Tamandua tetradactyla: one gene and its partners. The protein of the gene in region 4 purifies or fractionates together with the protein of the main gene of each other region. This does not show direct contact. Links are inferred from orthologs where the notes say so. Each region holds a gene or a part of one and is shown on either strand. Other genes may lie near its edges.

What was found.
Region 1: the proteins of SOX2 (region 4) and ILF2 purify together in Homo sapiens (affinity purification with mass spectrometry; 3 studies listed by BioGRID and IntAct, with this or other methods). This does not show direct contact. The link is inferred for Tamandua tetradactyla from reciprocal best matches to the Homo sapiens genes SOX2 and ILF2.
Region 2: the proteins of SOX2 (region 4) and SUPT16H purify together in Homo sapiens (affinity purification with mass spectrometry; 3 studies listed by BioGRID and IntAct, with this or other methods). This does not show direct contact. The link is inferred for Tamandua tetradactyla from reciprocal best matches to the Homo sapiens genes SOX2 and SUPT16H.
Region 3: the proteins of SOX2 (region 4) and MYEF2 purify together in Homo sapiens (affinity purification with mass spectrometry; 3 studies listed by BioGRID and IntAct, with this or other methods). This does not show direct contact. The link is inferred for Tamandua tetradactyla from reciprocal best matches to the Homo sapiens genes SOX2 and MYEF2.

The regions. Positions count from the first base shown.
Region 1 is NC_135330.1:6,483,766-6,491,298, reverse strand, and holds the start of ILF2 (interleukin enhancer-binding factor 2), read left to right. Parts: upstream 1-4,507; 5' UTR 4,508-4,654; coding exon 4,655-4,659; intron 4,660-5,718; coding exon 5,719-5,778; intron 5,779-6,320; coding exon 6,321-6,363; intron 6,364-6,764; coding exon 6,765-6,869; intron 6,870-7,269; coding exon 7,270-7,347; intron 7,348-7,533. UniProt on the Homo sapiens protein: Chromatin-interacting protein that forms a stable heterodimer with interleukin enhancer-binding factor 3/ILF3 and plays a role in several biological processes including transcription, innate immunity or cell growth.
Region 2 is NC_135340.1:35,076,154-35,083,127, reverse strand, and holds the start of SUPT16H (FACT complex subunit SPT16), read right to left. Parts: upstream 3,015-6,974; 5' UTR 2,717-3,014; exon of another isoform or gene 2,566-2,716; 5' UTR 2,388-2,565; coding exon 2,322-2,387; intron 1-2,321. Other genes in the region: CHD8 (chromodomain-helicase-DNA-binding protein 8), read right to left, coding at 4,016-4,582. UniProt on the Homo sapiens protein: Component of the FACT complex, a general chromatin factor that acts to reorganize nucleosomes. The FACT complex is involved in multiple processes that require DNA as a template such as mRNA elongation, DNA replication and DNA repair.
Region 3 is NC_135340.1:62,463,214-62,470,463, reverse strand, and holds the start of MYEF2 (myelin expression factor 2), read left to right. Parts: upstream 1-4,241; 5' UTR 4,242-4,362; coding exon 4,363-4,520; intron 4,521-7,250. UniProt on the Homo sapiens protein: Transcriptional repressor of the myelin basic protein gene (MBP). Binds to the proximal MB1 element 5'-TTGTCC-3' of the MBP promoter. Its binding to MB1 and function are inhibited by PURA.
Region 4 is NC_135331.1:80,244,930-80,251,318, forward strand, and holds SOX2 (transcription factor SOX-2), read left to right. Parts: upstream 1-3,837; coding exon 3,838-4,791; 3' UTR 4,792-5,877; downstream 5,878-6,389. UniProt on the Homo sapiens protein: Transcription factor that forms a trimeric complex with OCT4 on DNA and controls the expression of a number of genes involved in embryonic development such as YES1, FGF4, UTF1 and ZFP206. Binds to the proximal enhancer region of NANOG.

The DNA of each region.
Region 1 (7,533 bases), on a different chromosome or scaffold from region 4:
AATTCAACCTCCCCAAGTGGGGAATTGTTTTTTTTAAAATTTATTTATTAATTAAAAGAAGTAAAGAAACAAAATAAAACAACATGCATAATCAGTAATTCACAATATCATCACTTAGTTGCATATCATCATTTCTTAGAACATTTGCATTAATTCAGAAAAAGAAATAAAAAGACAATAGAAAAAGAAATAAAATAAACACAGGAAAGAAAAAAAAAGATTATACCTACCATACCCCTTACCCCTCGCTTTCATTGATCACTAGCATTTCAAACTAAATTTATTTTAGCATTTGTTCCCCCTATCATTTATTTTTATTCCATATGTTCTACTCCTTTGTTGACAAGGTAGATAAAAGGAGCATCAGACACAAGGTTTTCACAATCACACAGTCACACTGTGAAAGCTACATCATTATACAATCATCTTCAAGAAACAAATGGCTACTGGAACACAGCTCTACATTTTCAGGCAGTTCCCTCCAGCCTCTCCATTACATCTTGAATAACAAGATGATATCTCCTTGATGCATAAGAGTAACCTCCAGGATAACCTCTCGACTCTGTTTGGAATCTCTCAGCCATTGACACTTTGTCTCATTTCCCTCTTCCCCCTTTTGGTCGAGAAGGTTTTCTCAATCCCTTGATGCTAAGTCTCAGCTCATTCTAGGGTTTTTCTCAATCCCTTGATGCTGAGTCTCCGTTCATTCCAAGATCTCTGTCCCACGTTGCCAGGAAGGTCCATACCCTTGGGAGTTATGACCCATGTAGAGAGGGGTAGGGTGGTGAGACTGCTCGTTGTGTTGGCTGGAGAGAGAGGCCACATCTGAACAACAAAACAGGCTCTCTTGGTGAGCTGAGATTTAGCATCAAGGGATTGAGAAAACCTTCTCGACCAAAAGGGGGAAGAGGGAAATGAGACAAAGTGTCAATGGCTGAGAGATTCCAGAGTCCAGAGGTTATCCTGGAGGTTACTCTTATGCATCAAGGAGATATCATCTTGTTATTCAAGATGTAATGGAGAGGCTGGAGGGAACTGCCTGAAAATGTAGAGCTGTGTTCCAGTAGCCATTTGTTTCTTGAAGATGATTGTATAATGATGTAGCTTTCACAGTGTGACTGTGTGATTGTGAAAACCTTGTGTCTGATGCTCTTAGGCCTAAATTTTAAGTAGACTTGACCTATCCTTTGTGGGGTTAAGTTTCATATGAACAAACCCCAAGACTGGGGGCTCAGCCTATAGCTTTGGTTGTCCACACTGCTTGTGAGAATATCAAGAATTCAACTTGGGGAAGCTGAATTTCTCCCCGTTCTCACCACTCCCCGCAGGGGGCTTTGCAGATACTTTTCCACTCACTGATCGAATCACTCTGGGATTCATCGGGGCATCACTCTGGACAAACCAGCAAAATCTCATGTCCTATCTGAGATTCCAAGTACTTATGGCGTTCAATCAAACTATTTACATAAGTTATATTAGGAAATGCACTAGTCAAAATATAAATTTTGTAACAAGTAAACATTTTTTGCTTTAGTCTCAGACAGAAGGTGACATTTAAAAATATTAATTACCATCTATTTTCAGTACCCTACAATAATGACATTCCTTTGTTCTTCCTCATGCAAAAACATTTTTAAAATTGTACATTGTACATTTCACACTCTAGGCATTCCTAGATTATACCATCTCAATCTTTAACATCTATCTTTCTTTCTGATTTCATTTATGTTCCCAGCCCTCCTCCCTCTATCATTCTCACATGCAGCTTCATTCAGTGTTTTAATATAATTATATTACAGTTAGGTAGTATTGTGCTGTCCATTTCTGAGTTTTTGTATCCAGTCCTGTTGCACAGTCTGTGTCACAAGTGGGAAATTCTTGATATTCTCACAAGCAGCGGGGACAACCAAAGCAATAGGCTGAGCCCCCAATCTTGGGATTTGTTTATATGAAAGTTTATTTACTTAACCCTGTAAAGGATAAGCTAAGCCACTTAAAATTGAGCCTAAGAATCACCCCCAAGAGAACCTCTTTTGTTGCTCAGATGTGGCCTCTCTCTCTCAGCCAACACAACAAGCAAACTCACCGCCCTCCCCCTCTCTACGTGGGACATGACTCCCAGGGGTGTGGACCTTCCTGGCAACGTGGCACAGAAATCCTAGAATGAGCTGGGACTCGGCACCAAGGGATTGAGAAAACCTACTCGACCGAAAGGGGGAGAAGAGAAATGAGACAAAATAAAGTGTCAATGGCTGAGAGATACCAGAGTCGAGAGGTTATCCTGGAGGTTATTCTTATGCATTAAGTAGATATCACCTTTTTAATTAAGGTGTAACAGAGAGGCTGGAGGGAACTGCCTGAAAATGTAAATGTAGAGCTGTGTTCCAGTAACCATGTTTCTTAAAGATGGTTGTATAATGATATAGCTTTCACAATGTGACTGTGTGATTGTGAAAACCTTGTGTCTGATACTTCTTTTATCTACCTTATGGACAGATGAGTAAAATGTATGGATTAAGAATAAATAAATAATAGGGGGAACAAATGTTAAAATAAATTTAGTAGATTGAAATGCTAGTGATCAGTGAAAGGGAGGGGTAAGGGGTATGGTATGTATGAATTTCTTTTCTGTTTTCTTTTTATTTCTTTTTCTGAATTGATGCAAATGTTCTAAGAAATGATCATGATGATGAATATACAACTATGTGATGAGGAAAAAAGAATGTTCATATTGTATGTTGATTGGTTTTATTAATAAAACTTTTAAAAAAAGGAATAACCTCCAGGATAACCTCTCAACTCTGTCTGAAATATCTCAGCCACTGACACTTTTTCTCGTTTCTCTCTTCCCCCTTTTGGTCAAAAAGGTTTTCTGAATACCTTGATGCCAGGTCCCGGCTTATCCTGGGATTTCTGTCCCACATTGCCAGGAAGATTCACACCCCTGGGAGTCATGACCCACGTAGAAGAGGAGGGCAGTGGGGTCCCTTGCCATGTCGCTTAGAGAGAGGCATATCTGATCAACAAAGAGGTTCTCTTAGGCCTAATTTTAAGTAGGCTGGCCTATCCTTTACAGGAATAAGTTTCACAGGGGTGAACCCCAAGATTGGGGCTTGGCCTATTGATTTAGTTGTCCCCACTGCTTGTGAGAATATCAGAAATTCTCCAAATTGGAAAGTTGAATCTTTTCCCCTTCTTTCCCACTCCCTAAGGGGACTTCACAAATACTTCTTTATTCACTGTCCAAATCACTCTGGGATTTATCGGGACATCACACTAACCTGGACTACCCAACAAGATCTCATGCCCTATTCAAGATTCTCTTATGGGATCTTATGGTACTTATGGTATCAACTAAACTGACCATAAAAGGTAAATCAGGAAATGCACTACCCAAAATGTAAATTTTATACCAAATAAACTCTCCCTTTAGCCGGAGGACCTCTTTTGTTGCTCAGATGTGGTCTCTCTCTTTCTAAGCCCAGGAACAGACAAACCTAATATATGAAAACAGAAATAGGAATAGTGATTCCCTCTAAGGACAGGGCAAAGGGGTATGAGGTAACTTTCTAGGGTGATGAAAATGTTCTTTATCTTAATCTGGGTAGTGGTTACATAGATTTAAAACATTACTCAACATTAACTAGCTATACTGCTAAGATCTGTGCATTTTAATGTAGGTAAATTATACATCAATAAAGTATGTAAAACATTACACAACACAGTACTTAATTCTGAGGGGAATGAAGGTGGTAAATGGAATTAAGTTATTCTTGTATTTTTTCAGGAGGACTTTCTGAAGTCAGAGATGCGTGTTGTAATTTTTAGGGTAGACACTAAAAGGGTAGAAAAAAGAAAAGAGTGCATAACTTCCCATTAACAGAGGGGGGAAAATAATAAACATTATATCTCCCATGACAAAGAAGGCAAGAAGGGGGAAAATTAACAGGAGGGATAACAGCCAGCACATAGTAAAATGATTGATTTAAATGCAAATCAATACAATGTCTCCCTTTCTGCCTCAAGTTGCTGAACTACACAGAAGTGTGATGTATTAATCGCTTCCTAAGGACCCTTCCTCAGTACACTTCATTCGCCAGTGCCAGAAAAATCTTTGAAAGGCTGCATTTATAAGGGAAGAAAAAACTGAAAAGATGGCGTTCACATCTATTAAAAAAATTGAAATCATACGTATCACCTTTCTCTATAAGGAGGGAAATAAAAGAACCAGATAGCAGAGGATGGTTTCGATCCATCGACCTCTGGGTTATGGGCCCAGCACGCTTCCGCTGCGCCACTCTGCTACCTGGTGTTCAGGGCTTGTAAAGGTCATATAGAAAGTATTTACAATTGGTGGCGTTCGAGGTGTTCAGTTCCTCCAAAGAGCGCTACCTAGTTCTTGAAGAAGGAACTGCCGCCATTGCTGTCGAGCCTGTTCTTACTGGCTGGTTCCCGACACAGCAGGCGTCTTTTATTGGTTCTTTGCTTATGTCTATTGGTTTATAGAACCAATAGACAAAAGCGGCGGGATAAGGCGGGAGCCAATAGCGCCGGGTTTTGTTGGGAGACACCGGCAAGCTGCTTCTCCAGTTGTCCGCTCCTCAGAGGAGAGGGGCGGTTGGCGCGGCCTCCATTGTTCGGGATTTAGGGCGCCATGAGGTAAGGGGACCGGGGCGCTGTATGAGGATTTTGGATATTCGACTGAAAATGTTGGGAAGGTGGGCCGAAAGGAGTCGGAGGAGGATTGGGGATTGGCCTAAAACCTGAGAACTCCCGGCCTGGTAGCGGAGGAGGGGTCGGAGGCCGGCTGGGGCGGGGGAACGCGGGCCTGGGACGGGGGTGGGGCCCGGGCGCGGGAGGCGGGTTCGAGGCCGCTGTCTCTGGATAGGGGGTGTCCGCGGATCCCTGCCGGACCCTCCCCGCTTCTGGGCTGAGACGGCTGGATCGTGCCCCATTCATCCTCACTGCCAGTTGCTTCACGTGTAGGCTATGATCACTACATTTTTAAATGCCTTAGTAGATAAATGAGCACTCACTTTAATCTCGGAAATGTTAGGATTGGCACATCTCCCAGGTATTACGGTAGGGGCTCTAGGTGTTAAGTATCTGGGTCCCGTTATTAATTGAGGTTATGATTAAATTATCCATAATGAGGAGAAGTGTGATCGAAATACTGTCACTAGGCTCCCGAAGGTTCAGAGCGATGAAGGGAGGCTAATTCGAAATGATGTGGTGGGTATAGTGGAGTTGCTACAGTGAGGTAAAAAGAAAAAAACCTCCCAACTTTCTATATCAAGAAATTGATTTAAATGATACTACATTAATTTAATGGACTACTACACGACTATCAAAAAGAATGAGATCACTCTGGAATGAGATCACTCTGTACACAGAAAGGAGTACATGCTGTATTAACTGAAAAAAAGCAATTCAGATAAGTACATAGTATGACTTGCTCTGAATCTTGAAAAGGAATATATATGTTTGCATATTTTGTGTGTTTGTATGTGAAAACACCATGAAAAACACCAGAAAGAATACAGCCCACACGTTTATGGGGAACGAAACATTTATGGGGAATAAAAGGGGAAATTTTACTTAGTTTTACATTTATTTAATATAAATAAATGGTGATGTCTGGCTATTTTCAAATGACTTTGTAATCTCTTTTTAAAAAAACTTTTAAGAGTTTTAAAAAAACCTTTCATACATTTCTAGGGGTGACAGAGGCCGTGGTCGTGGTGGGCGTTTTGGTTCCAGAGGAGGCCCAGGAGGAGGGTGAGTGCCAGTTTTTAGCACCTCTGCACTGGTTGGTTTCTCTTAATCATTTAAGTAGGAATTTGGAGTGGACTAATGTTATGTTAGGTGTAGCTGTGATTTAACATCTCTTCTGGTGCTGTCCTGCTAAATGTTGATTTTGCTAAGAAGGATCATCCCCCAGGGGACTGACCCTGATTCTCAAGACACAAATGTTTTCAAAACTCCAATTTGTAGAGTATATGGAACCTGTTAATTAGGTGTCATTGGTTGGGTGAAAGGTTCGATGCAGTATTAGCAATTGTAAGGTAGAACTTTCAACTTTGAGCAGTCGTTTTATTTCTCAGTTAAAAGTTTTATCTGTTCAGGAACCTGAATATCTGAATGCTAAAAAGATTTCTCTCTCTTGATGTTAGTCTCCAAGAGATGCTAGAAAACCAAAGTTTTGGAAGAGAGAACATAAAAACATTGTTTAATTCTGTTTCTAGGTTAAGGCTGTTTGTGCCAAACATCTCATTTGATTTCTATGTGGTGCATAATTTGGACTGTTTTCCTTGTTTTAGGTTTAGGCCCTTTGTGCCACATATTCCATTTGATTTCTATTTGGTGAGTATCTGGGGTTAGTATGACTTTCCTGGCCACTGTTTACCTTAACATAGAAATGGAGTTTAGCATTTCCCAGTTATTGAAGTTAAGTGGTAGTTGGAATAGGAACAAGGACTTGTTAATAAAGTTGGGGCTTTGAGTTAGCTGTGTTGCGTTGCATACAAAGACAGTGTAAGCAGGGTGAAGAGATAATTTCTTGGCTACTGTTGACAGTAATATGATTGAACTTTTTATTTCAAATAAGAATATCTGATTCATCTGTTAATGTGAAAGTCGTGACCTTAAATTATGGCTGTTCTATTGTATATATTATTGTAGCAACAGTACAAAGTACTTATTCCTGTATATTATTTTGAGTAAATATTATGTTTGTAGTATTAAATAGTTTAATTCTTGTTCAGTGTGAAATGGCCTTCCCCCGGGTCAAGCCAGCACCTGATGAAACCTCTTTCAGTGAGGCCTTGCTGAAGAGGAATCAAGACCTTGCTCCCAATTCTGCTGAACAGGTATGCTATTTTGGTTTCCTTCCTGAGATTTCTGTAGTGGTCAGAAAAGTGAATAATCTCAGATGAGGTTAAGAGTAAATAGTGTTTTCAGAGACTAAGCTCAGAAAGCTTATTCTTATTCTTATTTCTTATTATTCTTACTTCTTCTTGTGGGTAGAGACCGAGAGCCAGCTGAGTATATTAACAGATTATTAGGCATTCAGGTTTTTATTGGAGGATCTCATCTATGTGATAAAAAATGTTCTTTTCTGGCATATTCAAGGCCAGAAGGGTCAAAATGTTTTTAAAGCCTGTGTTGGTATTAAGCTTGTATGGAAAGGATTATGAGAAAATATTCAAATTCTGAGAAATTGCTTGTAATTTTTCACCTTAGGGAGTTTTGTCTCATGCTGTTTTTCAGGCGTCTATCCTTTCTCTGGTGACAAAAATAAACAATGTGATTGACAATTTGATTGTGGCTCCAGGGACATTTGAAGTGGTAAGTTTTTGTTGATTTAGTTCTACAAAGGGGCAGTCTCATTTGTGGAAATTTCCTTGGCTTCCTCTTAATTGTTCAATTCCCTGTTATCCAGATCCAAGCCTAAAATGGGAACATGGAATTCCTTTGTAGTACCAGTCTTGTGAATGGTACTGTTCACAAGTACTGAACAGTGCCTGTCACTGT
Region 2 (6,974 bases), on a different chromosome or scaffold from region 4:
GTTATGAAAATTGAAATTTACATATATACAAAAGAAATAATATAATGCATGTGATAATTAGTCTCACAATTTGTACCTAAGACACACTCAACTTGAAAATAAATGGGAAAGGAGCCACATTAGCGTCTACTCCTAGTCTTTAAAAAGAGGATTAATAACTTATTAGTTCTCCACAACAGTTAAAGAGTTGAAGCTACCAGGAACAAGGCACAGTGCTGAAAGATTTATGCTCAAGGGTACCTAAAATTAAAAAACTGGGTGGGGAACACAAACCAGTTAACTTTTTAGTCATAACAGATTTCTCTGAAGATGTGAGCTGACAGCACAAGGATGTGTACAATTAAAAACGAAAAGGAATAGGGGATGGGGGAGTATAGAGTGCAACTGCATTTTCCACTACTTTCTGCGATAGCATTGAGGATAAACAACCAGAATTTAGCTCCAGAAAATTATGATTATTGAAGCAGATCAAAATAAAAGTACTATTTTCTTAGAAAGACTGTATAAACAGAAATACTACAGGAGATTCTGTGACATTTGCTCAAGTTTACAGTTTTAAAAAAGCAGGTCTATTCAAAGATTTTGATAATAATTGGCCACAATTTTTGGTAACTGGTAGATTTACATAAACTTGGCTCCTAAATTTAGGGTATTAGTGTCTATGTCAACATCCAACATCCTTCCCAACTGTTAAATAAGAGGGCTAAGATGAAGCTTCATGATTTTTGACAAAAACAAAAAATGGGGATAATAGAGCCAGTAACTTGACTTTTATGGATTTACAGATGCCATTTGATAGTAGGTCTACCCATATGTTTTCAGGCTTCACTTTTTCCTACACCGGCTAATTCCATTCTCTGCATTTACTTATCATGTAAGGGAACTTTGAGCTCTAAATTAATTTAATCTGAGTTTCATGAATAGTTTAGAGAGGATGAAGAATAATTTGATAAAGTAAACTCTGAATCACTAGGACAGAAACAAAACAACTTCCACATAAAAGGTGTACAATTTCAGGGTCCATGGGTAGAAGAGAGGGCTCCTGAATATTACCTGCACACTAGTATTCATTAATCTTCAGAAAATATCAGGACTTTTAAAAAGAGTTTCAAACACAGATAATGTTCAAACATAAGTATGTGACAGTGAGCAAGGCTTGTGGAAACCTTTGGTAGAAATTTACCAATAAAAAAATTTTAAAAACAACATTTATGCTCATCATTTGAGTAGCATTGAGTTCTTTTTACTTTTCGCAAAATGCAACAGAGAATCCATTTGACTTGCAATTATTTAATGCATTTAGCCTAAAAACATGAAATATACACAGGCACCTTTAATGAGTGGCAAGAAAATGCTAAAATTTTAATAGTTTGGTTTCCAGTATAGGATAAATCTGAAAAGTAATTTTACAATGCTGAAATCAGAACCGATATTTGTCAGGACCTTTTTCGGTATTGTAAAAAAAGTCTTTTGTTATTTCTTTCCTAGATGACAGAGGTCACAAGAGGCCAGACTTAATCTAGACAGCTCAAACTACGAATGCAGTTAACGCTTCTCAAACAGATCAATTACTGTAACAAAATTAATTTTAACTGTAGACATTTTTAAAGCAGCAAAATGGTCCAATCTTCAAGACTGAGAACAGTAACAGATTTCTCTTAACACGTGCCCGAAATATTCTAACTAGAAGGCAAACCAACGAGGTTTTAGGCATCATATCTTTTTTTGTATTATTAATTCCTACAGTTTTCAGCGTTAAGATTGTTACCCATGGCAGGACCTAGAACCCGAGGTGGTGGCGCGTGTAAGCAGCATTCCTTTTTAAATCTTCAGTACAAGCCCGGCAAACGATAAACGTGACGAGCCTGATTCACATCTTCCTGGCCCCTCCATCCCTCCTTTACGAAGATGGTTGTAATTCTGGCGGGACCTGGGGAGGAATACCGTGGTTCTGGGAGGACAGCCAGAGTGCATGGGTGTGTGAACGCTGCAGGAGCGGGTAGCAGGACTTGATCACTTAGGGGGAAAGAAGGATGATGCCTCTTAGGGCGGGAAGGTATTGCAAGAAGTAGCTGTTAGCACGACCTGCGCCGGCACGCGGGGAAGATGGTGGTGGCCGCAGGGCAGGGCAATCAGAGAGGAGTCCCTGTTATGGGGCACTTGTGGCCGCCTGCGATGAATGATTCGAGAGCAACGAAAGGGTTGCGACAATGAACCCGGGAATTCCCGACGCAAAGGGGAAAAAAAGGGCGCCGAAAAACAGGGTTATTATGGGATGGCGGAGGGGGGCTTCCTAGGGAAAATTATGGAATCTTCCTCACCCGCCAGTTGCTGTACAATCTCTTCACTCGCCGATAATACGCGTCTTTGTCCAGAGTCACAGCCATAGCCCCACACACCGCTCCTCCTCGGATCCGAGAATCACGCGAGGTCCCGGCTCCGCCACCCGCTGTCGGCCCCGGAATCCCGCACTCCCCCAGTGACCCGGAAGTAACGAGCTCAGAGGTCCTTTTCCGCTTCCGGGTCCCCACAGAGTTAGGGGTTTTATTGTTTTAAGTTCTTCTTCTAGAGGTTGGGAGGAGGAAGTAAAAAAAAGAAGTGGGGAAATCAATAAAATGTGCAACGCAAACAAAAAGTCTACATTTTCGCGGGGATTTCTTCTCAACTCAGTCCCACACGAGTTACGTCATCACGGACGCTTTGTCCCCGCCCTTACTCTCAGTCTGGCGGCGGTTTCCAGGAGCTCCGAATTTCACCTCGGCGGCGACTGCTGGAAGAGACGTGCTTACGCCGCCCCACACAAGCTGCCGCGCGCGGGCGTAATGGCCACACCCCATCTGCAAAGGAGGGGTGAAGAGCGGATTCTGGCGTGGGATGGAGGGGGAAGACTGCAGCGTTAAGTGGGTACGTTCCTCTCTTGGAAATGGTGGTTAAGTTAAAGCCGCTGCTACCGCAGGACTGGAAAGATCCTCGGTGCAAGGAGGCTGGGTCGGGCCCCGCTCGGGTACACAGCTCAATCTAGGAAGACAAGCCCGCCCTTCTGATAATCTACAACCTAAACTGTGGAGGGGAGGAAAATTAAGTGCCCGGGCTTCATTTGAGCGCTCGGATGGCAATAGGAGGCCGTGGGAAACAGCTTGAAGGGCGTCTCAAATTTTTATCTGTTCCCTTGCATTACTCCCTCATCCCACTACTCCCTCTCCCTCCCCCAACCCCAAGTTTTCTCAATCAGGCAGTCCTTTGCTACAAAGTTATGAAAAGTGATACCAGTGTCTTCCTCCAAGGCACCATTATTTCAGTTAATTCGGAACGAAGGGTACGTAGGTCTTGAAATTCATTCTTGTCTCCTCTTAGAACTGAGTTTGAATCTGGAACAATATTTTCGGCTACAATTTACTTTCAACCATCCTCTGCTTTTAGCAAGCTATATGTACGATATTCGTATATACCCATTAAAGAAATACAGATGACTGATCTGACCTGAGTTAATGTATTGGAAACAGTATTGGAACTTTGGGAAAGTGGCGTTGAAATCACGGACCACGAACGTCTTTTTATATTGGGTTTGAGCAAATATAGAACAAGGGAAGAGTGGAAAAGGATTAACTTAAATTTATTAATGCCAAGGGGAGGAAAGGTAACAGTTCCTGACCCTCCAGCTGTATCCACAGTTCGGTCAGGAACAGGCTCTGCCAGAGGCTAGAGCCAGTGCTACATAGTCTGTGGTTAACAGAGGTGTCTAGGGAGGGGTGAGTGCACCAGCAGCTCTAGTCTCCGTTTCTTCCCCAGAAATGAGGAAGTGGTCATGTATTATTTTAGGAGTTCCCCTGCCCACCCAATCCTCTCAAATTTGGGAGTAATCAGGTACAAGCTTTTTCTTTCTTTCCCCCCTTTCCACCTCCTGGAGTCCTGGGTTTCCCCACATCTCCCCTGTCCCGCCCACTTTTCCAGAGTCCAAGGGCCAGAGTAAATGAAAGTATAGCAGCCACCCACGCAATGGGGACATGCTGTGGCTTCACTCATCAGCTTCTTCGCTGGAGTCTGAATTGGCTGGCATCATAGGATCATCAATGAGTGAGAAGTCCCTTTCTGAGCTATCATAGCCCTGAGATAAATCATCATCTTCCTCATCCTCATCATCGTCGTCCTCAGGTTGCAGCGGTGGCAACCGCAAAGCAGTGCCAGAGGTGGTAGTCGCTGGTGATGAAGGGTAGCCGGTAGCTCTCAGGCCTGGATGGTGATGGTGGTGATGGTGGGGGTGAGGGTGGTGGTGGTGGTGGTGGTGATGAAGCATGGTGCTGGAGTCTACATGAGGGGATGATGCGGCACCGCCCATCACAAACGGCATAAAAGGCAAAGGCGCAGAAGTGGCACTGCTGTGACCCAGAGATGAAACAGACTGCAGGCTACTACTGCTGTGTTGGAAGCTGTTATGCAAAGACAGGGACCCAGTGCTTCCACCCTGCATCAGGGCCATCATCTTAGAAAGGTCTGGTCGCATCCTACGGGCCCGTTTTTTGCTGGTCTCTGGTGTGATGGGCCCTGGTAAAACCCGGTTGAACACAGTTTCGGTGTGGTGACCCTGCGAGGAGAGAACAGAGGAAAAGAGTTAAAAAAAGGGGGGAGGAGGAGGCAGGGAAGGGAGGGGATGATGCCACAGTGAAAGTCAAAAGAGTTCTAACATGCAAATGATTTTTCACTGAATCTTTCTTTAGGTGGGGCAAAACAAGTATAGTCAGACCAGGCTTGATGGTGGTAATGGGGAAAAGGAAATGCTGGATTCAGATGAATGTTTTGCTGCCAAAGCTAATATCAAGGATTTCATATTGATATTTGTATAAACCAAAGAATTTTTACTTTTTGCCTTGATTACATTGTAACTTTATTCCACCCGTATCTCACATATTTGTTGATAAGGGGACTGGGTAAGATGGTGAATGGATAAGTATATGCAGAGAAAGTAATTCACTCAAGTGTATAATGATGGCATGTTCACATCTTCATATCATGTGAATTGTAGCACAACTGTATTGACATTTACAATATTAACCTCCATTATCACATCAGAGCAGAATAAATTCAAGACAAATCAGACTTCTTAATGTTAAGAATACCAAAAAGGTTGTGAGTAGCTCCTAACCAAATCTAATAGAAAATGTGTTTTCCCATTGATAAAAACTTATATATTTTCTGAATTTTAAACTGCTTTTTCTAGAGGTTCTAATGGCAAACTGTGGTTAGGTTCATTGAAGCCTCTTCTTTGCAAAATACTCAGTACACTGGCATTAAACTCAAGGCAATTGGTAACTGTGTCTCTGGAATTTCTCAATTTAAGCCATACACCTAATATGCGAATATACCTTTTTGACTTGGAAAAACAAATATCTCAATACTCCTATTTGTGTGGACTTTTTTTTTTCCTGACCATAAGAGCATCTAAACTTCTGCAGATGCCAGTAATAATGCAGTGCTAGATTCACTATCAATTTTGCATTAGGAATTCTATATTAGTCATATTATGATTTCCTGTGATCTTTTATTTCTTAAAATTATCAACTGAGTAGAAGGGAAAAGGCAAAAGTGTTGAGATAAAATGAGGTAAATTGGAGAAAAAACCTTTTTTATAAGCTTTCTACAATGTTAGTTAAATAAAAGACAGATATGGCCCCAGCCTTCTAGTCATCAGCCTTCTGTATCAACCCTTCTGCTTATTACTCTTTTGTTCCCTTGGTGGCTGAGAGAGAAAATTTAAAAGTTCTTCCTTGGTAATATTATTTATATGAAATGCACTTTCACCAATATAAAAATGAAAAATGAGCCTCATAAATATATCTCACAAATAAGTATATTATATGCAAAAGAATGTTCTTGGAATTTTTAAAATATAAAAGATATATATTGTTTATTTGGAACTTGATTTTGATAAAAGATATACCATACAGTTAAAAATATGCATATATAAAATTTACATAAAACATCAAATGCAAAATTAATATACAGAAGTGCTAATCCATTTTAAATGACTGTTTACTCAAACCAGAAATACAACTATAACACAAAGTAAGGCAAGATGTGAAAAATAAACTTCTGTAATTATACTTCTGGAGAAAGAAAAAGAAACAATGGATCCACCAAATAGCTACAATCAAGATAAAAGGATAGTGCATTTAAAAATAAAGGGGGTGGTTCAGTGGCAGAATTCTCGCCTGCCATGCTGGAGACCTGGGTTCAATTCCCAGAGCTTGCCCATGCCAAAACAAAAAAAACTAAATAAATAAATAAAGGGGGACTGTGCCAAACATTAGAGACAATTAAATCAATAGGCCAAGCCCTTGATCTTGAGGCTTGCTGTTGTGAAGCTTATATATGTAGCAGAGAAGCTTAGCCTACCTATAGGACTACTTAAGAATTACCTCCAGAGGACCTCTTTTGTTGCTCAGATGTGGCCTCTCTCTCTCTTAAGTCCAACTCTGCAAGTGAAATCATTGCCATCCCCATTAGGTGGGACATGACATCCAGGGATGACAGTCTCCCTGGTGGCATGGGAGATGACTCCCAGGGACGAACCTGGCCCTGGCACCATGGGATCAACAATACTATCCTGACCAAAAGGGGGAAAAGAAGTGTAACTAACAAAGTATCACCGTCTGAGAGAGTTCAAATAGAGTTGAGAGGCTCCACTGGTGGTCACTCTTAGGCATGCTTCAGTTAGACATTGCTATTTATCATAATTTGCCAAATCCAACCAAAACCATTCTTGTCAATCCTAAGGAATATCTAGGGCATTATAAAAGATTCTATAAAGGTTCCATGCACTAGGGTAACTTTCCAAAACCTGCAACCTCCAGATGGACCAGTCAAGTCCTGAAATGCAGAGGGGCCAACCTTTCCAGAACATCAACTAGTTCCATCCCCCTACCCCATATTATCAATAACCCCTTCCAACATGTAAAAGTTAGAATGGGCATGGCCCA
Region 3 (7,250 bases), on a different chromosome or scaffold from region 4:
CACCAGTTGATTGTGACAATCTAGTTTTTTTCATCATAGAATGAATGTCTTAGAATAAATAGGGAAAACATATGTGGATTTCAAATATAACCATAGTTTTGGTAAAAGTTTTAAATTCTTTTTTTGGAATCTAAATCTAAGTTTGGAACTTAGTGGCTCCAAATCCAGTCATTTAATTTAAATAAAGTCAAGCGTACTGTTTTAAAAACTATATTATACTTTTTGTTTTACATTATGTTATGGTCTTTGACTTTTAATTCTTAAAGATGAAGTAAAAGATTATCATATCCTACATGTCACTCAACATCCATTTCCTTCTTTTGTAACAGAACCCTGGATAGTGTGCCCAGCTGAAAAGCTATTTGCAACCTCCCCTAAAGCTGGGTATGTCATGTAACTAAATTCTGGCCCACAAGTGGAAGTGCTGTAGGAGAGATCTAAACAGGATCATTCTTTTCTTACTCCTGCAATGTAGCCAAGATCACTAGTTCTCCAGCAGTCACCTTGGTCCATGGGGTGACCTTAAGAATGGAAGCCTTGAAACAGAGGAGTTAGGATTTAATGAATGATTATGAATACTGAATCATTATATATTCTTTTTTCTTTCTGGTATATTAGAGTAGATGGAGAGGAAATACCTGAAATCTCTGAACTATGATCCACTGCCCCGATCTCTGATAATGATTGTAGAAGTCCTTACTTGTGCCTTTGTGATTGTGAAAGCTGGTACTTCCTTTACCCAGTTTTCTCCTTAAGAAATCTGTAAAGGCAAATGCCCTAATACTAATGGAGGAATTTGAACCAGCTCAAAACCCACCATTAACTGGTTCTAGTTTCACTCCATTATATTTGTAAATTGTTTCTGCCTATAGCTGTTATTGAGATGATAACTTTCTTTCTCCCTTTTTGCTAATACCTGCCATTGAAATTGTAATGACTTCATCTCCCCATCTTAGAGTCCATAAAAACTTTGAATACCCAGACTCCAGGAGACAGATTTTGGGCCCATAGGCCATCTGCTCTCCTGCTTCACTCCTAGCAATAAATTATTTCTCTCTTTGAAACTCTGAAGTTTCAGGATTTGGTCATTTGCACACATCAGGCAGCAAATCCACCACCTTTGTCCAGGAACAGCCTTGCTTTAGGAAGGTAAAAGACTAAGATAGAAGGAACCTGTGGAAATGCTTCATGAGCTCTGGGCTGCTTTCATCTGGACTTCTTAGAGAGAAGTATAACTTCTATTTTGTTTAAGATGCTATTATTTCCAGTCTCTGTTACTAGCAGCGGAATATAATTCCTATTTGATCTACCCATTGAATTATTAATTGAAAATATTTGGACTTTTAGCATTAAATTTCTAGATATGAGCTCTTTCTCTGTGCCTCTCTGTCTCTGTCTCTCACACATAAACCACTCCAATCTGTAAGAAAGAAAACTAAGGGTATGTGAAGGTGTGGCAGTAACACATTTTCTGCGGTTGCAAGGGCTAATGCTTTTATAGTGGGAACTGTGGTAAGATAAAAACTACAGCATTACTCAAGAATTTTTAAGCAGGTACATGTGGAATAAAAAAATACAGTAAAGCAGAGGAAGGGAAGGTAATATAGAAATGAAATGTAATAGAATGTTAATAGCTCATTTTTTCTTTATTTTTTGCAAAGTTAGTTAAGGTAAGTGTAATAATGATAGCAAGAGAGGAAGGAAAGATCATAGTACAGGACAATGGAGATAGAACGATAAGGATGAATCTTTTTTTCTCTTCAGAAAATTCTAACCTTTTAAGATCCAGCTCTTCTATGATGCCCTCACCTATCCCTAATAGGGATTAACCTTTGTCCTTTTTATGCATCTAACAGGCTATGACTGGGATATAGCCAGTGAGGTGTTTGGCTCAAGTACCAAATATAAAGAGGCACCAACAAACTCAGTCATCAAGATAAATATTTTAATGAAAGATTTTACAAAATCAAATTGGCACACTGGGACAGGTGGGCTAGTCTCTAGTTTTAATTATATCTGACATTTTATCTCTAGTACAGTATTCAAATAGTACTTTGTATACAATTTCTTTCCCAATAGGCCTGTACTCATTTTTGTATCCCCTGTGCTCCTACTTGCCTGTTTTAAGCAAGGGTATTAGTCAGGGTTCTCCAGGGAAACAAATGACAAGTTTCATGCATGTAAATATTATGAGATTTCTTATAGGGCTTGGCTCCTGTGACCATGGGGATTGACCAGTACATCAATTCCATAGCGTAGACCACAAGTGGGATCTCCAAAGAAACGGTCTCAATGAATTCCCTAGGAGAAGGTGCTGACTGAAGTAGAAACAGATTTCTGAAATCATCACTTCTCCCTTTTAGGCCTTCAAGTGATTGGATGAGACTTCTCTCATTCTGATATAATCTTTATTGATTATAGATCTAACCAGTCATAGATGCAATCAGCAGACAAATGATTTAAATCCATGAAATACTCTCGTAGTAACAATCAGACTAGTGCTTGCTTGAGTAAACAATTGAACACCATAATCTAGCCAGGCTAACTCAGGAACTTAACCATCATGGCCTCTTAATAAACATTCAGTTGAATCTCTTGAAGGGCTTTGCAAGAATATACTGTTCTAGGGGCTGTGGGGTTAAGTGTTTCATCATTAAATTCAACCTTAACAAACGAATAACAGACAGCGAGGAATGTTTTGAAAGTACTTATAATCCAGTATTACGGGAAAATCATCTGGCTTCTCTTCGACTAAAACCTTTGCCACCTTGGAGAGCTAGGGAATTCTAAACCTTTGCATTCGTATACTACTTTGCCCTATATAATGTTCTTTCATTTAATCCTCACCTTAATTCAGCAAGGTACATTTTATTATCCTTATTTATTGTGGAGGGATTGAGAAGTTAAATGATTTGCCCAAGAAATTATGGGCAGCAAGTGTCAGAGCTGGGAGTCTAGTCCAGGTTTTCTGTCTCAAATTCTAATGCCCTTTCTGACACTCCAAATGCTATGTCTCAAGGTTGATTAATTAAGGAGAAACAATTAATGCAGCGACCACAATAGTATTTGTAGTATCTACAAAACAGAATATAGGCAAAACCTTAATAGCAGTATTTTAGCAAATGTACTCTTCATGATTAAAACAGTTCTGATTTTTATAAGTCTGATGAAATAGCTTACTTCAGGAACAGGACTAGATGGTTTATGGTATTTTGTGATAGACAGCAGAAGACTACACAATGAAATGCCAAAGAACATGGGAAATTGAGGAAATCATTTATTTACTATTCGAGTGTTAGTTTCTAATTACAACTTTACCACTAATGTGTGTATAATATTCTGCAAGGCACATAAATTATTGGCTTGCTTCTTCAAGAAACATTTAAAAGGTCATTGAACTCTTGAGCTGAAAAAGATTATTTCAATGTGAAATATTATTATAGTTCTAAAGAGTTAGAAGTTGATTAAGTTTAATGGGTTTCTTTTTCATACTTAGGGGGAAAAATCTATGATTATACTTTAAAACTTCACACAGTAATTAAACTTGAGAACCTATAACTGTTTCAAATATAATTTCCATCAGCATATAATAAACACATAAAACCCAAAATGCCCATTATTAGTCAATCTAGTAGAAGATTTCTTATGAAAATTATAGATTCCACCCATTGATTGCTGCCCAGAGTATTAAAAAAATTTCATTCTTTTTATAGACCGTTAGCTGAATTCTAAGAAAAGCCTCATTCTCACGAACAAGGTGATCTCAAAGAAATACAAAGCCATTTACTCTGCTGAATTGCAATAGTCATCAGTAACTCTTCAATATCCACAGGGTGCCTAGACATTTGAATCAGAAGTGGTGATTTATTTGAATCATATAAAGGATTTTTAAGGGAAGTCTGAAGAGGTACAGATGTCTTAAAGACAAAGTGGAATGTGCTTCTCTTACTTAATGTGCTTCTCTTACTGGGTTTCAGAGCTTCAGAGGTTTCCAACCCCCAAAACACACTTTGAAACTGAAGACCCCACTGGGGGCCAAGCGACCGGCAGGCTGGTGGTCGGAACATGATCCCAAAAGAGGTCTCAGGACAGGTCAAGCCTTCCCTGGGCCGGGTCAGGGCCGAACGCAGCAACTGCGGCACACACCTTCCAGCCCCCACCGTTCCCCTCCCCCATTCACTCCCACCCTCCACACAGGCTCACACCATATCCCCGTCGCCCAGCCCCGACAGGTTCTCGCGAGATCCGGGCAGCTGAGCGCTCGGGGCCTGTTCAAATCGGGATCCGTTACCGCTTCTCCGGCTGCCGCCATTGTCGCCCTCGGAGCCCCTCAGCAAAGGCGGTGGAGGTAGCGGCGGCGGGATGGCGGACGCCGAGAAGCTCGAGGTTCTTGGGGCCGCTGGCGACGACAGCCCGCTTCAGCAGCCAGCGGAGCCTCCTGGCGAGCCGCGGCGAGGACCGCACCCGCCGGAGCCGGAGAAGCAGCAACACCACAGCAGCAGTTCCAATGGCGTTAAAATGTATTGTCTTTTCCTTCCGGGGACTGGGGCGAGTGTAGGGCGGGGAGTCGGCCTGGAAGGCCGGGCTGGGCCTCGGTGGGACCCTACGCCCTCCTCAGGCCCTGGACCGCTCTCGGCCGTCGGCGGCGGGAGGAGCAGGTGCAGCAGCGCCGCTCCCAGGCCCTTCCCTGGCGACCCGGGCACCGCCGCCTGCGAGCTGGGGAGGGGAGGGGGGGTTGGGGGGCCGGCGCACTCCCTCCCACCCCACCCTCGATTAATAACCCCATTTCCCAGACTTCGTTTGATGAACCTTTGAGCAAAGCTCGGCGGCCGCCGCGGTTTGCGGGAAAATAGTCCCCTTTTTAAAGGGCAATAGTTAGTGTTCATCACTAGGGAGTATCTAGGGATGACATCATCGGACATTTCCTCTTATCCACTGACAACGTATTTAGAAGGAATATACCCCTCCCCCATCTTCCCAGCCTCATTCTGAGCTTTATGAGTTCAGTGTTTTGTGTTTTCTTTCTAAAGTATATATTCGTTTTTGTGATTTATAGTCACTGAAAGAAGTTTAATAATGCACCAATAGAATGGACCCGTCATTGTTATCTTTGAATTGGCTAGAGGTATTTTTGAAAAGAAAATCTATGTTGTGCATTGCTTTTTCTTCCTTTTTTTTTTTTCTCTCCTAATGTTTGTCAGCGGTGCAGGCTGTTGTAAAAACTCTTTGTGTGTCTCGTCTGCCATGCTGAAAAATCGAACCCGGGTTCGATTCCCGGTGCCTCCTCACGCAAAAAAACAAAAAACAAAAAACAAAACCCCTCATTGTGTGACGTTAGATTCTTAATTTTGGTGTAGTGGTAAAATAAAACCACTACTTTTAAGGTGGCAACTCCGTTATTGGCTATAAAGAATTTAGATGACTCGAATCCATGGTAATTTCTAGTTGTAAGCATTCGTTATGAAAATTGTTTCTCTTTGTTCTTATCGTGTGGGAGACACGAAGCCAAGCATTTATTTTCATATTCCCAGCCCTTTTAACCTGTAGTTGAAAGTTACATTAATAATTTAGTGAAGTCATCCTTTTCCTTCTCTTTATCCCTCAGAATAGAAAGCAGTAAACGAAATGTCTTTCTGACGTTTCTCTCGTATAAAAATGTTTGAAACTTTATCTTAAGACCTGGACAAATTGTTGTAAGGGAAGTTGATTGCAAATGAGATGGGGTAGCTCTCCCGAGCCGGGTGATGACACTCTTGTTCTCAAGTGGGTTAGAGTGGGATAGTATCTTCTAGGCAGAATATTGTTGTGGGTATAAGTGATTGGATCTCTGGAATTTGTTTGTAGATGGAAACACCTTAGAAAACGAGGAACCAGAAATGAGTGAAGCACTTTTCCACAATGTCTGTCAAAATGTGGGCTTTCAGAAATTTGATATAAGTAGGAATAAAAAATAATGGAATAATCTTAAAATATCTTTTAGTTTATATCTAAACATGAATATGCCATTCCTTTTCTTCTGATAACATTAACAGAAGTTACAGTCTTGAATTACAGAAGCCCCACTGTATTTGGATATGGGCAGCATAATAGTGTCAGTACAGGTGAAACTAGTTACCTAAACCTCCAGCAAATCTGAACATCTCCTAATCAATTTTGATGTCCTATTGTGGTTTAACCAGACAGGAAAAATAGATAGGAAAAGAATCTTTGCCACATCTAATTGAGGAAGAAAATGTAAGGTGAAGAAATTAAATGCTGTAAACAAGCACGTACTTTTAATATTACTTTAGTTCATCCCTCTCCTTTTCTTAAAAGTTGAATAAAGAGGCCAATTTACTATCAGGAGTTTCTTGTACTGTCCCAAAGGAACATATGCTGAGTCCTCAATGGGTCACCCAAACTAGGTAACTAGGGACATTACATGTATCTTAAACACTCTTTAGACTCTATCAACCAGTAGGGTTAGTTAACCCAACACATAAATCTTAAGTTGATTATCATGTTTTTAATAAGAATTTATATATAATGATAAAAGTGACCAATTATTGCCTTAAAATATATGTAATTTAGAAGTGAACAGAATGCCGCTTGTCATCAGTACTGAAATGACTTTGAGGTTATTCCTTTGTCGGACAGAGATCACCATATCTTATCTTTGTATCCCTAAGACCTAACATTTAAAAAAGGGACAATAAAATTTTTTGAAGAAATAAAGTGGGGACCTTTTATGATCATGAAATTTGTTCAGGGGATATAGTTGGCACCTTGACATCTTTGGATGAGAAATTCAAGATCTTTTTCCTGAGGTCTAGTTTTTTTCTTTACACCAAAGCAGTATAATAGCTCCCCTTTTCTTTAAAATGAGTAGGAGGAAAACCAGTAATATTGTTACTGTTCATATATGATTAAGTAACATCTTGGAGTATATGAAGATTAAGAGTTATATTAGGGCACTAATATAAACTATTAAAATAGTATTGGCTCAAGGTGAAGTGTTTGCCAGTAGAGTAGTAATTTTATCACATTAGGAAAACAGAAATGGGATTGAGCTTAATTTTGGAAATGGCCTTATACAATATAGCATTATACTTTAAAACTATGCTTCTTCATTTGATGTTGGATTTTGATTTTTTCAGAAATTTGTTATAATTTGAGAAGACATAATTCAGTCTTAAGAGTAGATAACATTTTGTGACTATTCTAGAGTTTATTTTTGTATGTTTAGAGGGAATGTACTTGAATGAGTATTT
Region 4 (6,389 bases):
TTTTTGACGAGGGCTTATAGTAGAATAAAATCAAATCAGGATACCCCAGGCACTATTCATTTTATCCCTAATTACTAATCTTGCAGCAAAAGTGTGTAGATTTTTACTGTCCATGGAAGGGAAATGTTACCCTGTCTTTAAGTGCTTTCAATTTTCACAAATTGTGCCCACAGCAACATTTTAAGTTCTCAGAGGATGAAGCACCCTGTGTTATTTTGATACTCTAGTAGTCGATGGTGTATTATCAGTTCTGTAGCTGTCTGTTATGAATCTAACAGTTCTGCTTCTGTTGTCTGTTGTCATTGTCACAGTTACTATCATATTTAGGGGCCAGTAGTGGTGCTGGGTTGAAATAGAGTGGCCAGTGATCTAATTTTTAAAATGCATATGTTCTAAAAATCTAATGAGAAAATTGTTTCTATTATCACCACCTTCTTTAATCTTATTTTCATAGCACATTATTATGCATAAACGCCAGCCACAGTTAGTTTATTGCCTTGATAAGTTCAGCAAGCTTAATTAAAATAAAGCTGTAAATAAGTGCAACCAATGATAACACAATTGTAATGTATTTCCATAGCTTATTTATATGATAAAAGCAATTAACAAAGGACCTAGCCAGCCCCTTTCACCTCTTAAATGCATTATGAGAGAGTTCAGACAGCAGCACATGCATCTGAAATTCTTATAAAAGCTTTTTTTTATATATTATCCCAAGGAAAACTATGTGCTGCTTACTATGGGGTGGGGGGTGGAGGTGATTATTTGAAGATTCTGCAACCATCTGGTATTAATATTTATTTTAAAACATATACACTACCATTATTCACACCAACCCCTTATCTTTTTCTTCAAACTTAATTACCCATAAGCTTTGATTCGTTTTTGGAATAATGCTATTAAGCTCAGACCAAAGCATACACAATCATAAAGTGAATGCTTGTTCTGCCCTTCGTTGCGTCTGGACAATCATAATTCATTCATATGTTGAATCTCATAATTTGTACCTATTTTTTCCCATGGTTTAACCTCCCACTTATCTCGAGGTTATATGTTCATTTCTGCTAAGCAAATTAAATCTGATTCTTATGATTTGGTTCCAAGGCTTATATGATTTGTTAGCGTTTCTTTTGTTTAGATTACATGTAATTAGTTTAATCTTCCTCCCACCCCCCTCATTTTTTCCCTTTAATTATTTCTAAACACTTTCTTTTTAAGGTAAAAGCAATAGTCTTAGCGAAACGATGCACCAGTAGGGGGCGCACCAGCCACGCCTCTGAAACCAGGCGCGGTGTGAAGCCCGGCCGAGCCTTCTCCCAGCTCCTTCCGAGCTGTTCCTTCCCTATTTTCTTTCCTAATAATCGAAGCTAATATCACACTTCGATTAAACAGAAACATTATTTGGAAGCGTATCATATTATTTATGCATTCCGAAAAGCTCGGTCTCACCTTCCTGGGCTCCCAAGACCTAAAACAAGCCACAATTTAAGAGAAAAGTGAGAGCCCACGGGGCGTGGCGTGGGGGGGAGGAGATCGGTGGGAAATCCTTTAGGAAGAGTCTGCAGGATTCTTTTTAGGAACTTTTCTGGATTTCCCGTAGTCACACACAGCCTGAATTGAACAAGCCCAGAAAAGTCAAGGAGGGCAGGGATTGGGGAGCGCTTGTGTGAAGAGGGCTGGCAAGGAGCAAAACAGTGCACGGTTCTGTAAAGCAATATACGGAGCGTGGTCGGTGGATAACAGTACATTTTCTTAGGGCGAGTAAGGGTAGGTCAGAGGAAGAGGGGGCGGAAAGAGAGTTACAGAAGAAAGAGAATAAGTAATCCTGATGGTTTAAGCCTTTTTTAAAAAAAGAAATGGCATCAGGTTTTTCTTTTTCTTTTTCTTCTTCTTCTCTTTCCCCTCCCCCTTTGTAGTCAAGTGCATTTTAGCCACAAAGATCCCAACAAGAGAGTGGAAGGAAACTTAGACGGGGCTTTGTTTGACTCCGTGTAGCGACAACAAGAGAAACAAAACTACCTATTTGTAACGGACGTGCTGCCGTTGCTCGCGGCATTGAGCGCCTACCTATTGAAATCTTTAGGTCGGGACAATGGGAGTGCGGCTAAAATTACCATCTTGGGTCTCGGGCGGGCCGGATTCCTGAGCCCCTACCCCGCCCCCAGCCCGGCCAGCCCCGCCCCGCTGGGCCCCCTCCGCCAAGCCGGCCTCCTCCCCCTCCGTGGGCCTGCACCTGTGCCTGTGCTTAGCGGGCCCGGGGCGCCCGGCTCCCGAGGATGCGGCCACCGCGGTAGATGGCTGCGGGGGACATGCCAGAGCTGTTCCTGCCCGAGCACTAGGAGCTATCTCTGCGCAGGAGGGAGTCTGTGAGTGTGGCCCGAGTGCCACCTCCGTGCTGTGCAGTGGGCGCCAGCAAGTGAAACTTACTCTCCCCATTCCCGCACTTTCGAGCCATCGCTCTGTCTCCTCCTTCCCCCAGCCCCTTTTGAAACTGAAATCCTTTGGGGGCGGCTCGGGAGGAAAATGGGGAGAGGGGACGAGAGTCTGTGCGTCCCCTTCGCAACAACCGCGTGGAGGACTGGAGGGGAGGGGGCCCGCGGCTGGAGCAGAAGGGAAGGCTGGGGATTCCTGGTTCCACGCACTGCGTGGGGCCGTGAAGAAGGTGGAGGCGGCCGCCCGCCAAGGCCCTGCCGGTCCTCAGCTCCAGGGTCGGCCTCAAGGCCCGAGCGGGATTTATTTTTCAGAATAAGAGAAAGCAATGTAGAAGCAAAAAGGGTTTGAGGACAGAGCTTTCAGTCTGGTAACTTCTTGTCGGGACAGTGTGAGGTGGGGCCGAGGGAGTGCGGGCACTCGGCGAAGAAGAAAGGAGAAGGGAAGAGCGTGGTGAGGGAGGGCAGTGCTGGGGAAGGGGGTGGGGGGGGAGCTGGGGGGGAGAGTGCGGCGAACGAGCGGGAGAACAATGACAGAACAACTCTTGCATTGCCTGTTTCCTGAAATACTAGTTGGACAGTTGCCCTGAACCACCCACTCCGCCCTGCCCCACCCCCACCCCTTCGCTGCTTCCCGTGCCCCCTCCTCATTTCAGCACCCCGTACGAAAAAGTAAATCAATATTAAGTTTAAAGAAAAAAGAAGAAGAAAAAAAATCGTGTCTTAGTGCTGTTTACCCACTTCCTTCGAAAAGGCGTGTGGTGTGACCTGTTGCTGCGAGAGGGGATACAAAGGTTTCTCAGTGGTTGGCTGCCGGGCTGTGGGAGCCGCCTCCCCCTCCCCGTCCCTCGCCCTCCCCCCTCCCTCGCCCTCCCCCGCGCGGCCCCGCCCCCTTTCATGCAAAACCCGGCGGCGGGGCCCGGCGCGAGTGGAGGAGCCGCGACGCGCTGATTGGCCGCTGGAAACCCATTTATTCCCTGACAGCCCCCGTCACATGGACGGTTGTCTATTAACTTGTTCAAAAAAGTATCAGGAGTTGTCAAGGCGGAGAAGAGAGTGTTTGCAAAGGGGGGAAAGTAGTTCGCTGCCTCTTTAAGACTAAGACTGGGAGAGAAGCGGAGCGAGAGGAGGGGAGAGCAGTGGGCGCCCCGGCCTGGGCCTCCCCCCGGAGCGGCAGCCGGCGGCGGCGGGAGCAGTCCGAGGCGGGCGGAGCGCGGCTTCCATCCCGGACTGCGGCCGGCCTAGCTGTTGCCCCGGCCGGCCCGGCGCCCGCGCTCCACGCCGAGCCCCGCGCTCCGCCGCCCCCGCCCGCCTCCCCGTCGCCTCCGCCCCCGCCCGCGCGCCCCCCGGAGTCCCGGCCGCGCCGAGGGTCGGCGCCTGGCGGGCCGGGCCCGCGCGCAGCGCCCGCATGTACAACATGATGGAGACGGAGCTGAAGCCGCCCGGCCCGCAGCCGGCCTCGGGGGGCGGCGGCGGCAACGCCACGGCGGCGGCGGCCGGCGGCAACCAGAAGAACAGCCCCGACCGCGTCAAGCGGCCCATGAACGCCTTCATGGTGTGGTCCCGCGGGCAGCGGCGCAAGATGGCTCAGGAGAACCCCAAGATGCACAACTCGGAGATCAGCAAGCGCCTGGGCGCCGAGTGGAAGCTGCTGTCCGAGACGGAGAAGCGACCGTTCATCGACGAGGCCAAGCGACTGCGAGCGCTGCACATGAAGGAGCACCCGGATTACAAGTACCGGCCGCGGCGGAAAACCAAGACGCTTATGAAGAAGGATAAGTACACGCTGCCCGGCGGGCTGCTGGCTCCGGGCGGCAACAGCATGGCCAGCGGGGTCGGGGTGGGCGCCGGCCTGGGCGCGGGCGTGAGCCAGCGCATGGACAGCTACGCGCACATGAACGGCTGGAGCAACGGCAGCTACGGCATGATGCAGGAGCAGCTGGGCTACGCTCAGCACCCGGGCCTCAACGCGCACGGCGCGGCGCAGATGCAGCCCATGCACCGCTACGACGTGAGCGCGCTGCAGTACAACTCCATGACCAGCTCGCAGACCTACATGAACGGCTCGCCCACCTACAGCATGTCCTACTCGCAGCAGGGCACCCCCGGCATGGCGCTCGGCTCCATGGGCTCGGTGGTCAAGTCCGAGGCCAGCTCCAGCCCCCCCGTGGTGACCTCTTCCTCGCACTCCAGGGCGCCCTGCCAGGCCGGGGACCTCCGGGACATGATCAGCATGTACCTCCCTGGCGCCGAGGTGCCCGAGCCCGCTGCCCCCAGCAGACTGCACATGTCCCAGCACTACCAGAGCGGCCCGGTGCCCGGGACGGCTATTAACGGCACACTGCCCCTCTCGCACATGTGAGACGGGCCGGACCGCGGACCGGAGAGGGAGAAGGGAGGGGTGCAAAAGAGGAGAAAAAGAAACGGCCTGGAGAAAAACCCAGTACGCTAAAACAAATAAAGTGAAAAAAGAACATCCCATCGCCCGCAGCAAACGACAACTGCAAAAGAGAACCCCAATCCCATCCACACTCATGCAAAAACAGGATGCCGAGAAGAAAACTTTTATGAGAGATCCTGGACTTCTTTTGGGGGGACTATTTTTGTACAGAGAAAGCCGGAGGGTGGGGAGGTGGGGAGGGGGGAATGGACCTTGTATAGATCTGGAGGAAAGAAAACTACGCAAAACTTTTCAAAAGTTCTAGTAGTACGGTAGGAGCTTTGCAGAAAGTTTGCAAAAGTCTTTACCAATAATATTTAGAGCTAGTCTCCAAGCGACGAAAAAAATGTTTTAATATTTGCGAGCAACTTTTGTACAGTATTTATCAAGATAAACATGGCAATCAAAATGTCCATTGTTTATAAGCTGAGAATTTGCCAATATTTTTCAAGGAGAGTCTTCTTGCTGAATTTTTATTCTGCAGCTGAAATTTAGGACAGTTGCAAACGTGGAAAGAAGAAAATTATTCAGATTTGGACATTTTAATTGTTTAAAAATTGTACAAAAGGAAAACAAATTAGGATAAGTACTGGCAAAAATATCTCCATGGTCTTTTAAAAGGGCAAAAGTTTTAGATGTACTAAATTTTTTTAACTTACTGTTAAAAGCCAAATGGCCATGCAGGTTGACATTGTCGGTAATTTATAATAGCTTTTGTTTCCCAACTTTCCATTTTGTTCAGATAAAGACAATATGAAATTACTGTGTTTGAAATATTTTCTTATGGTTTGTAATATTTCTGTAAATTTATTGTGATATTTTGAGGCTTTCCCCCCTTTATTTTCCGTAGTTGTATTTTAAAGATTCGGCTCTGTATTATTTGAATCAGTTTGCCGATAATCCTTGTATATATTTGAACTAATGCCACCCTGATAACAGGTACATTTTCAACTTAAGTTTTTACTCCATTATGCACAGTTTGAGATAAATAAATTTTTGAAATATGGACACTGAAATTATGCTTTGAGTCTTTTATTTATTTGGATAATGCTGGTTATTAAAGCATAACTCCTTTGGGGATTATAATACTGTGCTCAGCCAAGAAAGCAAAATAGCAAAATCCTTGGTATTTCTCCTCTGCAGCGTGTGCTAGCAAAGTTAGCTGCAACAAATAAGTGGCTGGAAGATTAATTAAATAAGTACTCTTTAAAAATGGAGATACTTATGTCGTTTCTAAAATAGAAACTACAGATATATGTCGTAAGTCCACCCCCTCCTTTTGGAAGCAGCGTGAATAGGCATGATGGGGACTCATGCTTAAACTGTTTTATGCCACTTGTTGCCAGAAAGGAGTCAATTCTGAAAATTTTCAACTTGCTTAGCAGATGGGGTATTGAGCCAAATCAGAACCAGGTCGGCGGGTTTTGTTTTCTTTTTCACAGCACAATAGGCCCTTTTGGAAAGCTGGGTATAGAGGGAAATGATACTTCTTGTATAAGAATAATTGCAAACTAGACATG